Linked DNA regions of Mus musculus. The protein of the gene in region 3 purifies or fractionates together with the protein of the main gene of each other region. This does not show direct contact. Links are inferred from orthologs where the notes say so. Each region holds a gene or a part of one and is shown on either strand. Other genes may lie near its edges.

Evidence for each region.
Region 1: the proteins of Kat8 (region 3) and Phf20l1 purify together in Homo sapiens (affinity purification with mass spectrometry; 3 studies listed by BioGRID and IntAct, with this or other methods). This does not show direct contact. The link is inferred for Mus musculus from reciprocal best matches to the Homo sapiens genes KAT8 and PHF20L1.
Region 2: the proteins of Kat8 (region 3) and Kansl1 purify together in Homo sapiens (affinity purification with western blotting; 4 studies listed by BioGRID and IntAct, with this or other methods). This does not show direct contact. The link is inferred for Mus musculus from reciprocal best matches to the Homo sapiens genes KAT8 and KANSL1.

Annotation. Positions count from the first base shown.
Region 1 is NC_000081.6:66,576,083-66,580,436, reverse strand, and holds the start of Phf20l1 (PHD finger protein 20-like protein 1), read right to left. Parts: upstream 2,866-4,354; 5' UTR 2,590-2,865; intron 369-2,589; 5' UTR 332-368; coding exon 249-331; intron 1-248.
Region 2 is NC_000077.6:104,337,742-104,341,345, forward strand, and holds part of Kansl1 (KAT8 regulatory NSL complex subunit 1), read right to left. Parts: intron 507-3,604; coding exon 385-506; intron 1-384. UniProt on the Homo sapiens protein: Non-catalytic component of the NSL histone acetyltransferase complex, a multiprotein complex that mediates histone H4 acetylation at 'Lys-5'- and 'Lys-8' (H4K5ac and H4K8ac) at transcription start sites and promotes transcription initiation.
Region 3 is NC_000073.6:127,911,067-127,915,374, forward strand, and holds the start of Kat8 (histone acetyltransferase KAT8), read left to right. Parts: upstream 1-1,450; 5' UTR 1,451-1,465; coding exon 1,466-1,676; intron 1,677-1,692; exon of another isoform or gene 1,693-1,733; coding exon of another isoform or gene 1,734-1,782; intron 1,783-1,947; exon of another isoform or gene 1,948-2,153; intron 2,154-4,161; coding exon 4,162-4,236; intron 4,237-4,308.

The DNA.
Region 1 (4,354 bases), on a different chromosome or scaffold from region 3:
TCTGCCAATGAAACTCTGTTAGTTATTCAGTGGTAACATCCTCTCTATCTGCCCTTTACTCTAGACAAACACTTTCAAATCTCAAACAGCTAAAGCACTGTACAATGAAGTATTTAAATGCTAACCCTAAACCCAATGTGTATGTGTATTCAGGGATGAATACACTAATGCGACTGACATGTGGTTAGAATAGCAAGTGACTTATTAAAGCTACAAATTTTGGGTCAATATTCTGTTATTTTCCATACCATTTCTGTAAGTAGTCCAGTGCCTCCAAACGAGCACCAATCTCAAAAGTGATTCCAGGACGATTTGGGGGCTTTTTACTCATCTTGAGATCCTATTCTTCAGTATTTTCTTTCCACTACCTCAAGAGGAAAAAAGAAAGTTAGATCCTAACGCATGAGATGCACATGGAATACGGTTTAAAGGGACAGAATTTAACTAATTTTCAAAATAATACATGGGACGTTACAATATTTGCCAGACTTTTAATTGAACAATCACTAAAGCTTATAGGTAGGATGCAACATGAAGGAAATTTTGGTAGGGCATTTATAAAAGATAAATACAGAAAGGAAAAACAGCTAAAGAGAAGCGACAGCTAGTAAGACTAATAGCTAAAATGCCTCAAACCTTAGCTGACAAAAAAAAAAAAAAAATGCTCAGGAAAGAGCCACCCAGGGAAGGCTGAAAACACTGTGAGTTTTAAAATGAAGACACTTGTGTTTACTGAAACTGTTGAAGGGAGCAGCTTAATTGTCTTCCACTTAATTTCCAGAAATCATTTAGTATGTCAGAACATACAACCCGTGGAGAAAGCAGCAGACAAGCACTGTGTCAGGGAGGAGTCTCACCAACCTTTCTGGAAAATCAGGGTAGTTAGTGCATACTATCTCAACAGCACACCATAGCATCATTTTAACATAAAGACTTGCAAATGAGTTTTCTTTTTCTTTCTTTATTTCTTTCTTTCTTTTTTTTTTCGAGGCAGGGTTTCTCTGTGTAGCCCTGGCTGTCCTGGAACTCACTTTGTAGACCAGGCTGGCCTCAAACTCAGAAATCCGCCTGCCTCTGCCTCCTGAGTGCTGGGATTCCGAGTGCTGAGATTCCGAGTGCTAGGATTAAAGGCATGCCCCACCACGCCCGGCTTCAAGTGATTTTTCTTAAATTTCACATTTCATAATCAAATTATGCCAGACTCTGGGTAAGGTTTCTATTATTAACTCAACATTGTGCCCATAATGACAATTAAAAAAAAAAAAAAAAAAAAAACCTGCAGGAGTCGTTACTTCACTATACTTCACTATAGCCCATTTACATTAAGTATTTAATGATCTTTTGGCCACACTGGCTTGCCTAGCACACGTGCAGCCTTTTTGACTACCGAGTATTTGAAGAGAATGCATATATTCTCAAGGTATCAATAGTGGAATGAAAATAATAACTGGCAAGCACGGTCTTATCAAAATACAACGGGTTGGGGACCAGGAATCTAACGCTGCTCTTGTTGGAGGGAGATGCTTAGAACATGTTCTTACATTACTACTCACTAGGATCTTTCTAGCTTAAAAAAAAAAAAAATAAACACCACACAAATGAAAAATCCCCACACAAACGAAAAATCTTATAATGTTTTAGCCACTGTTTAAAACAGGTAAAACTTAAGAGCAAACAGAATTCCAAATGTCCCTTCCTGTTTTTTTTTTTTTTTTTTAATCTGAAAAGGGAAGAAAAGAAATAGCATCAACGCTTGTTACAAAAATATGGGGGATCAAGTTTACAAGGTCGTGCCTAAGGGGATATAGAATATCCTGACATGGCATCAGTGAGGTTAAGATTCATAGCCAGGACACACTAGGTGTAATGGGAACAAACATAAATATTTTAAATAGAAATCTTGTAAGTGTGCAACATACAAGGCTGTTACTTCAATGTACAGAAATAGAATCCGAAGAGGCAGTTTGCCAGTTATGCTAACATTTCCTAAGATCAAACTTCCAGCCTGTAAATCTAATCCCCCGTGACTCTCAGGAATGAGGACCTCAAAAGGCAGGGACGATTTCCATTCTCTTGTGAGGAGACAGGAGAATGAGGGAGGCGGCAGAATTAGGAACTTTTACGAAAGACAATCTATTGGACAGACCCTTAAAGTGAAACTGTGGAACAGGGAGCGAGAAAGGGGAGAAGGAAACAAAAAGAGAAATGAAAAAAGACCAGAAAGCGGTAAAAAAGAGTTCGTTGTAAGGATGGTGGAAGTTTGCAGAGATGACAGTGAGAGGAAAGAGACAGACACACAGAGCTAGAGAGCGGTGAGGGAAAGACCGCGAAGCTAAGCAGAGGGGACGAGGCGGGCTCGCAGGGGTGTCAAGGGGAGCCAGGAAAGGCCGCGGCGCGGCTGGCCCGGAGCCCGGGAGCTGCAGGTTGACAGCCGCCGGCCCGGCAAGGGAAGGAAGGCGGGGGTAGCGCGGCGGCGCGCAGACAATAGGGTCAGCGGATGGCAGGGAGCGGGACGCCGGCCGAGAGCAACGCGGGCGCGAGCGCAGCCCGGGGACCCGGCAGCTTCCAGGCCCCTCCGCCGCCTCTTACCGACTCGGCCTCGTCTCCGCACAGCAGCCGGGCCGTCCGGGGCCGAGCCGGGGCGCGTCAGGGAGGCCAGCGCGGGCCTCGTTCGAGTCTGCCCGGGCAGCAGCAAGGGAGGGAGCGGGAGCCGAGTGAGCCGGGCCCGCGGCGCCGCGTCGGCCCGAGGAAACGCGGGAGGAAGCCCTCAAGCCCACTCCGGCTCCGCTACCATCGCAGCCGCCGTCGCTGCCGCCGCTGCCGCCTCCGCAGCCACCACCGCCGCCGGCCAGCCCTGACGCGACGCCGGCCGGGGACGTCAGCCGCCCGCGACGCGCCGGAAGCGGGCTGGGTTGAGTCACGTGGTACGCGAGGGCCGGGCTGGCGCGGCGCAGCCGATTGGAGGACTATTCTGGGGGTGGGGCTTCGGCCAGGCTGGGCTACTTACACATAGAAAAGACCTGGGCTCTAGATTCCCCTTGGTGGGGTCAAGAGGATGGTGGCCTTTTGTGATTGTTGCTGGTTTCTAACAAATCCCACTACTTGACACATTGGGCAAACTTGTCAATGCACCACACACTTTTCACCGTGTCTGTTCTATCCCACGTTAAGGACAGACACAATGATCTGTATTACAAAATCAGAATTGTCTCTTTTGAATGGATACTTTGTCACGACACTCTGCTATAAATATATCACATGACAATCAAAACTGCACACTTATACTACTTTCCAAATTCAGAAATCTTTATAAAACAAATAAAAGATTCTTAAGAATCTTTAAAAATTCCTAAGAAGTTTAGGGTACTAATAGAACAAGTCTTCACAATTAATAGTATAGGACTACCTCTGTTGAACACCTACCATGTACCAAAGTCTATATTAAGCAGGAGAATCCCTATCCCAACTTTGAGAAGATCTACAAGTTATCATTCAAAGTGCTACTGAGAGAAAACATCTATTTTTTTCCCCACTCCATCACTCTGCCTCCCACGTTTTAAAAGTGCATCACTGCATACAAATGACACTTATATTTATCTTGCTTCATCGTGTACAGTGAAAATAGAAATGTTTTCTCTGACTTTCAAGAGATTTGGTAAATTGAGAAAATCTTCATAATCATCCTTTTATTCAAAAGACATTCATTCAAGAAATATATATCTAATAGTTGCAGAGTTATACTGAGCTTAGTGATGCTACAAACAATGCGAATAAGACAGTTCTGAGATGATATTTGTCTTTATGTTCTTCTTTTTAATCCTCTGTGGTTCTCATTGGTCCAATACAATTAATATTTCTATTATTTCTAGAATCTTTTTTCTGTCACAGGCAGAATTATACTTTCCACTTTTAAAATATTATGTACGGTTATTTAATTTGCTGTAAAATTAGAATACAAGTAAGATCACACACACAAGAAAATGCCAATGCAAGAAGACAGTTCTAAAATATTTTTGTCCCCCAGTACTGTGATTTACAATGTTTGCAATAATTACTGTTTTAGCAGTAGAAGTCCTTGATACACTAGGATGACTGTAGGAATTATGGATCACCTAAAACAAACATGCAATTTAAAACAACACTTGATTTAAACAATAAAATGTATAATGTTGTCAAATAAAAAACATATATTTATAAATCAGGATCATTTGTTTCAGAGTCTAATCTAAATTTAATGAAGAAGTGTCAACCCTTCATTAGATGGGATGAAAATATTAGAATCTAATGAATTTAGTCCCCCTTGAGGCTATAGGTCTCACTTTAAATGCTATTTAAACTATATTGTTTTAAAATT
Region 2 (3,604 bases), on a different chromosome or scaffold from region 3:
GATGGACCATCATGCCTGTCCCCAAACCCTTCTTTTAAAAAGAAAACAACTTGGGCTGGTGAGAAGGTTCAGCGGGTAAGAGCACTGATTGCTCTTCCAAAGGTCCTGAGTTCAAATCCCAGCAACCACATGGTGGCTCACAACCACCCATAAGGAGACCTGACGCCCTCTTCCGGCACGTCTGAAGACAGCGACAGTGTACTTATGTATAATAATAAATAAAATCAGAAAGGAAGGAAGGAAGGAAGGAAGGAAGGAAGGAAGGAAGGAAGGAAGGAAGGAAGAAAGAGCAAGCAAACAACTCAACTCAAGGATAGGGACTGCTTGGTCAGAAGAGAAAGAGAAGAAGGAGGAGGAGCCGAGTAAAACAGGTCTTCTTCATACCTTGGAGTAAGGATTTCTTTGTATTGTAGTTTCTCAACACGAGTTGTTGCAGCAACAGACATTGGGATGACAATGTTGTTAATATCAAATGAGCTCTCTCCCCTTCTCCTCCTCACTGGCTGCTGTAAGATAAAAGTTTAAGTTTCAAGGGAGGTACAAAGTCACAAATTTAAAACCATTAGTCATATGATAGAATGACCATACACACAGGTCCTTGGGTAGCAGTGGCCACCACAGCAGTGTATCTAAACTCTTTGGAAGCAGAGGTCTTCGGGTGCACATGTACGGCTGCATGTGCGGCAGCCCCAAGGAGTAAACCCCATTCACAAGGCACTCTCCATAACCACCCTTCTCCTTCACTAGATTCTTATACGTGGGTATTCTAGATTTTAAGCCAATTTGGTGGTAGTGGTGGTGATGGAGTTCCTATTACTTCATTCTATTAACATTCCTTTTTTTGTTTGTTTTTTGTTTTTGAGGCAGGGTTTCTCTAGATAGCCCTTCATGTCCTGGAACTCACTCACTCTGGAGACGAGGCTTACCTCAAAGTTAGAATCCACTGTGCCACTACTGCCCGGCTTTAACATTCCTCTTTTTTTAAAATCTAAAATCCTTGTTTTAGAGCTGGAAAGATAGCTCTGTGGCTAAGAGCTACCCTTGGAACAATGGTAACTAATTATATTAAAAGCACTAAATTCTTTTTACCAGAAAAGAGGCTAAAAGAGTAAGCCCACCTTAACAAACCACTTTACCTTAGCTGCTGTGACAACACCTTCCCTCTTGAAGATCTCAACTCCTCAGCTAAGTCTGTACCAACCACCTTCTCAGCCCCCACATAACTCTCATCTTTCTATTATTTTGGGGAAAGAGAAGAGTGGAAGGAAACTGAAAAGAAGGACCAGTCTATAGCTTCCACCCCAAGAAGATGTGTTTCCACAGTAAGTGAGAACATTAAATCTTTGGGGAAATAATATTTCCAAGGGTCTAACAGAAGCAGAGTTGGGCATCTATGTTAGGACACTAGAAATGAATAAAACCAGGTGTAGTGCTATACACATTTTTAATCCCAGCACTTGAGTGAGAGGCAGATACAGACAGATCTTTGTTGAGTTTAAGGTTAGCCTGGTCTACACAGCAAGTTCTAGAAAAGCCAGAGTTACATAGAAAGACTCTGTCTTTAAAAAAAAAAAAAACAGACAGCCAGGCGTGGTGGCACATGCCTTTAATCCCAGCACTTGGGACGCAGAGGCAGGCAGATTTCTGAGTTCGAGGCCAGCCTGGTCTACAGAGTGAGTTCCAGGACAGCCAGGGCTACACAGAGAAACCCTGTCTCGAAAAACCAAAACAAAAAACCAAAAACAAAAAACAAACAGAGTGAATAAAGCAGCGAGCCAAACGATTGAGTCTCCTAGACAGAAGAAAATCTCTATTAGCTGCTTCTGCCCAGAGAGCAAATACCTTGTTCTGAAACAGCCTGTTAACTGAGCTATAAGAGGTAATAGGGAAACAGTGGGATGACAAATATGTTGTCATGGCAACAATACAGCTGGAAACACCCAAGAGGTCATACCCAGACCACCAAGTGTGGTCAGCCCACTGGGAGGGTTAGTAAGAAAGATAAGCTACTACCCCCTAATCAACTATTGTACCTCTTTGGAAGGTGAGATAATCTATTCATTTCATTATCTTAGGACACTATAAGAATATTAAAACACAGATTTTCAGATGGTGTCATGAATGATTTCAGGTCATCATATTTTAAAATTTATCCTATATCAGCAAGACTAAACAGTCATTGACCTCAGAAATGGTTGAGATTTTTGGAAACCTTATCCAGCTGAGTTCTATGAGTGAGCGTTAGTGACCCAAAGGCTTCTGTTACTGTTACACCTTGGCTTAAGTTCTCTGATCCACACAAGAAATGAATCTTGAAGGAGCCTTGGGAGAGACAGCTCTTCCTCTCTTAGTCAAGAACGAAGCTCCTGCTAGAAAGAGCTATGTATTTCTCCGGTACTTCTCAGGCCTCTAGCCTGCACCCTCTGCTTCTACACCCCCTTCTGCTAGCACTCATTTACAACAGAAACAAACAAAGAATCTGGCCTTTCCCCCTCTATTTAAGTATCTTTTGGGTGGTCTTAACTATGTATGTAGCCTGAGCTGCAAAACTCATGCTCCTCCTGCTCAATCCTACCCTAAGTGTTACTGTATGTCTGATTTTTTTTTTCCCCCCGAGACAGGGTTTCTCTGTGTAGCCCTGGCTGTCCTGGAACTCACTCTGTAGACCAGGCTGGCCTTGAACTCAGAAATCCTCCTGCCTCTGCCTCCCAAGTGCTGGGATTAAAGGCGTGCGCCACCACACCCGGCTTTTTTTTTTTTTTGGTATGTCTGATTTTTAAAATTTGCTAAGTATTTTTTAAAATTAACAGGATTTCAAGATGCACACAAAATAATCACAATGTGTTGAAAGACCATCCTGTTACCATCTTGCTTATCAACCTAAATTTGGCATATCACTCTGCTCATTATTCAATAAATCTTGATTCCCTGAATAAATGAGGCAATAAGAGCCCAAAAGGAGCTGGGTGTGGCAAATGTCTTTAACCCCAGCACTTGGGAAGCAGATGCAGGAGGATTTCTGTGAATTTTGAGCCAGTGAACTATAGGACTATATAGAGGAACCTTGTCAAAAAAGGGTGGGGTGGGGGCAGGGGCTAAAACATTAGCACGCTATGCATAAAATATGCATTTAGTAAGTTAATTCTAAATGGTCTAAGTCACCACTCTCCAGAATCATCAGGGCTGACAGAAAGAAAGAAAGAAAGAAAGAAAGAAAGAAAGAAAGAAAGAGACAGACAGACAGATTTACCAAGTCCTTAACCTTCGAGTCCATGGTTCTGTTGTTTTTAAATGAGAATTACTCTCATTACTCTTCTCTCTGTCTGATTATGTGAAACCCTTGGCTAGTGTGTGAGGAATACTATACACCTATTCAGACAGAGTCTTTGAGACGAGAAGGTGAAGGAAGAAGGCTATTTGGAAGAGGCTCTCTGTAAGACCAAAGAACAATGTGAATTTGTACCTGATTCCAGGAGCGTAGTGAGCACATTTTGTGAGCTTAGAGCTTCTCTGACACCCCATCTCAGGCCAAGGCTGTGTGATGTACTGGTCAGAGAGCTGACCTTGTAGTCAGACTACAAGGGTTTGAATCACAATCACACCC
Region 3 (4,308 bases):
GGTGTCCGGTGCCCCAATACAGTAATTAAGGAAAACACGTGTGTGTGTGTGTGTGTGTGTGTGTGTGTGTGTGTAGAAAGGTGAAGTTAAACAGCAAATTAGACATGTGTTACTCCAATTCATCTACCAATAAGTTTACCTTGAATGCTGCTATATAGCTTATATAAAGCTATGACTTAACCATATGTATATATGGTTTAACCTTTACTGAGTCTCAGAGAATTGGTATTCTGTACTTGGAGGAGTGTCACTACAGATTCTCCAGGCACTGTCTCCCTGCTCAAACCCTTCTTGGCTGGAGATGTTCAGTGGTAGTGTTTGCCTAACATTAATGAAGCTTCGGGTACAATCTCTAGCAGTGCATGAACCTGGTGTGGTGCCATCCTAACCTCAACATTTGAAAGGTGGAGGTTAGACAACCACTCAAGGTTCTCCCTGGCCACGCTCGAGGTTTTTTGTTTTTGTTTTTCAAAGATTTATTTATTTATTATATGTAAATACATGTACACTGTAGCTGTTTTTAGACACTCCAGAAGAGGGTGTCACATCTTGTTATGGATGGTTGTGAGCCACCATGGGGTCTTAACTCGGGACCTTCATAAGAGCAGTCAGTGCTCTTAACTGCTGAGCCATCTCTCCAGCCCCGCTACATGAAATTCTTAAGAGAAAAGAAGTTGCCGGGCAGTGGTGGTGCAGGCCTTTAATTCCAGCACATGGGAGGCAGGGGCAGGCAGATTTCTGGTCTACAGAGTGAGTTCCAGGACAACCAAGGCTACACAGCGAAACCCGGTCTTGAAAAAAAAAGAGAGAGAAAGAGTGAGTAAGTTTATTTTGAAGGTAGTTTATTTGGCACACCTGTTCTTTTCCTGTCTCAACTGGTTTTTGCTCCCACCCTGAGCGAGAGACGCAAATATAGAGTGGGTAGCATATAAAAAGCCCTGGGTTTTGGCCCCAAGCATCCCATAAAACTTAATTCAGTGATAGAGTACAACTGTAATCCCCAGGATACTGCTGCACGTTCAATGAATTTCAGGCTAGCCTCTGAGAACCTTTCTCAAGAAATAGGAATGCTCGCCTTTAATCCCAGCATTCGGGAACCCAAGGCAGGAGGAGCTAGGTCAGCAAGTGTGTAGGCAGCCCGGGCTATGTCACAACAAACAACTCCACAAAAATAGCTAAGTCCGGGTGTGGCGGTGCACGTCTTTAAATACCAGGACTCAAAAGGCAGAAGCAGGTGGATCTCGAGGCCAGTATGGTCTACATAGCGAGTTCCAGGTCAGTTAGGACTGTAATTAGACCCTGTCTCAAGTTGGGCCAATTTTTAGCAACAACAGCCACACGCAGTACGCACAAAACAAAACCTTGCCACGTCACAACCTCCCCACCTCCAACACGCAAGACTATGCCCGCCCCCACTGATCCGGAAATAAAAGCGGCTCTCTGGCCGGTCACTTCCGGCACAGCAATGGCGGCACAGGGAGCTACAGCTGCAGTTGCTGCAACAACTTCAGGAACTGTAGGGGAGGGAGAGCCCGGCCCGGGGGAAAATGCAGCAGTCGAGGGGCCTGCCCGGTCCCCGGGCCGGGTCTCTCCGCCGACTCCGGCGCGTGGCGAACCAGAAGTCACCGTGGAGATCGGAGAAACGTACCTGTGCCGGCGGCCGGATAGCACCTGGCGTGAGGGCGGGGCCCAGGGCCTAGGGGCGGGATTTAGGGAATGGGCATGGCCTAGGAATGGGCGCTCTGTGGGGCTGGGAGTCTTGGGGCCAGGGTGGTGACTCAGGTAAGAAGGCGGGATTTCGGGAGCTGAGAAGCCCACTTTGTAATTGGAGGTTGGAGTCAGGCCATGCTTGTTTTCACCTGTAAAGCCACCAGTCAGCTGAATACAGAGTTGGCCTGTGAACATTCACTCTGGTTCGATTTCAGGCTTCATTTTTTTTTTTTTTTGCTATATCTGTTCCTTCATTGGTGTTTTGTTGTCTGTCTTTACATTTCTCTTGCCCCCTCATCGCCAGCAAAGAGGACAGCCCAGTTCCTAAAAACACGTTTCCTTATCTTCCTTATCTTTTCTTCCTTTTCTTTCCCTCTTCAAAATAAACCTCAAGCTGCTGGCTTCAAAATAAACTCCGAGCTGAGATGGCTCAGGACATAAAGGTATTTGTCACCAAGTCTGGTGATTTGAGTTCTGTCCCCAGGACCCACATGGTAGAAGGAGACAATGATTCTTACTGTTTGCCCTCAGAATCCATATAAGAGTATCCCCCACCCCCTAATACGATAAATACATCTAATTTAAACGAATAAATGTCGGTCATGGTGGCATACACCTTTAATCCCAGCCCTGGGAAGGCTGTGAGTTTGAGGCCAGCCTGGTCTGCATAGCAAGTTCCAGAAGAGCCAGGACTACATAGAGAGACCTTGTCTCAAAACATAATTAAACTCCTTAGACTGGGTTTGTTTGTTTTTTGTTTTGTTTTTTGTTTTTTCGAGACAGGGTTTCTCTGTGTAGCCCTGGCTGTCCTGGAACTCACTCTGTAGACCAGGCTGGCCTCGAACTCAGAAGAAATCCGCCTGCCTCTGCCTCCCAAGTGCTGGGATTAAAGGTGTCTGAGACCTTTCCAGTTTCTAGGCACTTCTAGTAAGGGCTATTGCCAGACCAATCTTGCTCTGCCCGCCAAAACTATGTGTTTATGTGCCTTTTATCACCTGCTCTTGCTATAAGTAATCTCATGTCTTCCTGGCTAGCTCTTACTCATCTCTTAATTTTTGTTTTTTAAAAAGTTATTTATTTATTTTTTATTATTATTTTTAAAATTTATTTATTTATTACATGTAAGTACACTGTAGCTGTCCTCAGACTCTCCAGAAGAGGGAGTCAGATCTCATTCTGGGTGGTTGTGAGCCACCATGTGGTTGCTGGGATTTGAACTTCAGACCTTCGGAAAAGCAGTCGGGTGTCTTACCCACTGAGCCATCTCACCAGCCCCTATTTATTTATTATATGTAAGTACACTGTAGCTGTCTTCAGACACCCCAGAAGAGGGTCTCAGATCTCATTACAGATGGTTATGAGCCACCATGTGGTTGCTGGGATTTGAACTCGGGACCTGCGGAAGAGCAGTCAATGCTCTTAACTACTGAGCCATCTCTCTCGCCCCTAGTCTCTCTTTTTTTTTTATTATTTTTTTTATTTTATTTATTTATTATATGTAAGTACACTGTAGTTGTCTTCAGATACACCAGAAGAGGGCATCAGATCTCATTAAGGGTGGTTGTGAGCCACCATGTGGTTGCTGGGATTTGAACTTCGGACCTTTGAAAGAGCAGTCGGGTGCCCTTACCCACTGAGCCATCTCACCAGCCCCCCTAGTCTCTTTATCTCCTGTGGTGATCCCATTCTAGACCCCTTCAGGCAAAGTCAGTTGCTTGCATGGTCTGGCACGTTTTTCTTTTTCGTACCTCAGCCATACTGGGTTTTTTTGTTTGTTTGTTTTTTGTTTTTTCGAGACAGGGTTTCTCTGTGTAGCCCTGGCTGTCCTGGAACTCACTCTGTAGACCAGGCTGGCCTCGAACTCAGAAGAAATCCGCCTGCCTCTGCCTCCCAAGTGCTGGGATTAAAGGTGTGCGCCACCACACCCGGCAGCCATACTGTTAAAATTATCTGCCTTTCTCTGTCAATGGGAAAACACTAGAGAACAAGATCTCTTGTGATTCCTCACTGTATCTTCTCACTGTGGCCAGCATTACATAGTGGAGCGCCAGACGAGCATTAATTTCTAGACATCTCTGCATCTGTCCCTGTGCTACAGACTAAAGCATGGTCACCCTTTTAGGTATTCTCCAGATGAAGGAACTAAAGCTCAGAAAGTCAAACCATGGGGCTACAGTCATTTAGGAAATGTGAAGGAAGCTTAAACTGTCTTAATCCCCAGCCAGCTCTCATGGCCCCCAAATGAGTGAATGAGCACTGACTTTGGAGGTAGTCTTAAACATGCTTAAATACCAGGTTTTCTCAGTTTTCAAATCTCTGGTCCTCTGTAACACCCCCTGTACCTCCCCCAAGTCCTAACCTGGCTCACCTTACAGGGTAAATGGCAGGTGTGGACAGATGGATCTGGAAATTACCCCTCAGATCCCCCCCCCTTTTTTTTTTTCTTGACAGATTCAGCAGAAGTGATCCAGTCTCGAGTGAATGACCAGGAAGGCCGAGAAGAATTCTATGTTCACTATGTGGGCTGTGAGTGCCTGGGGCCCTGGGGCCTGGGTGGAAGGAGGGAGGCAGTCAGTCAGTCCCTCACGGTGCGTCCTA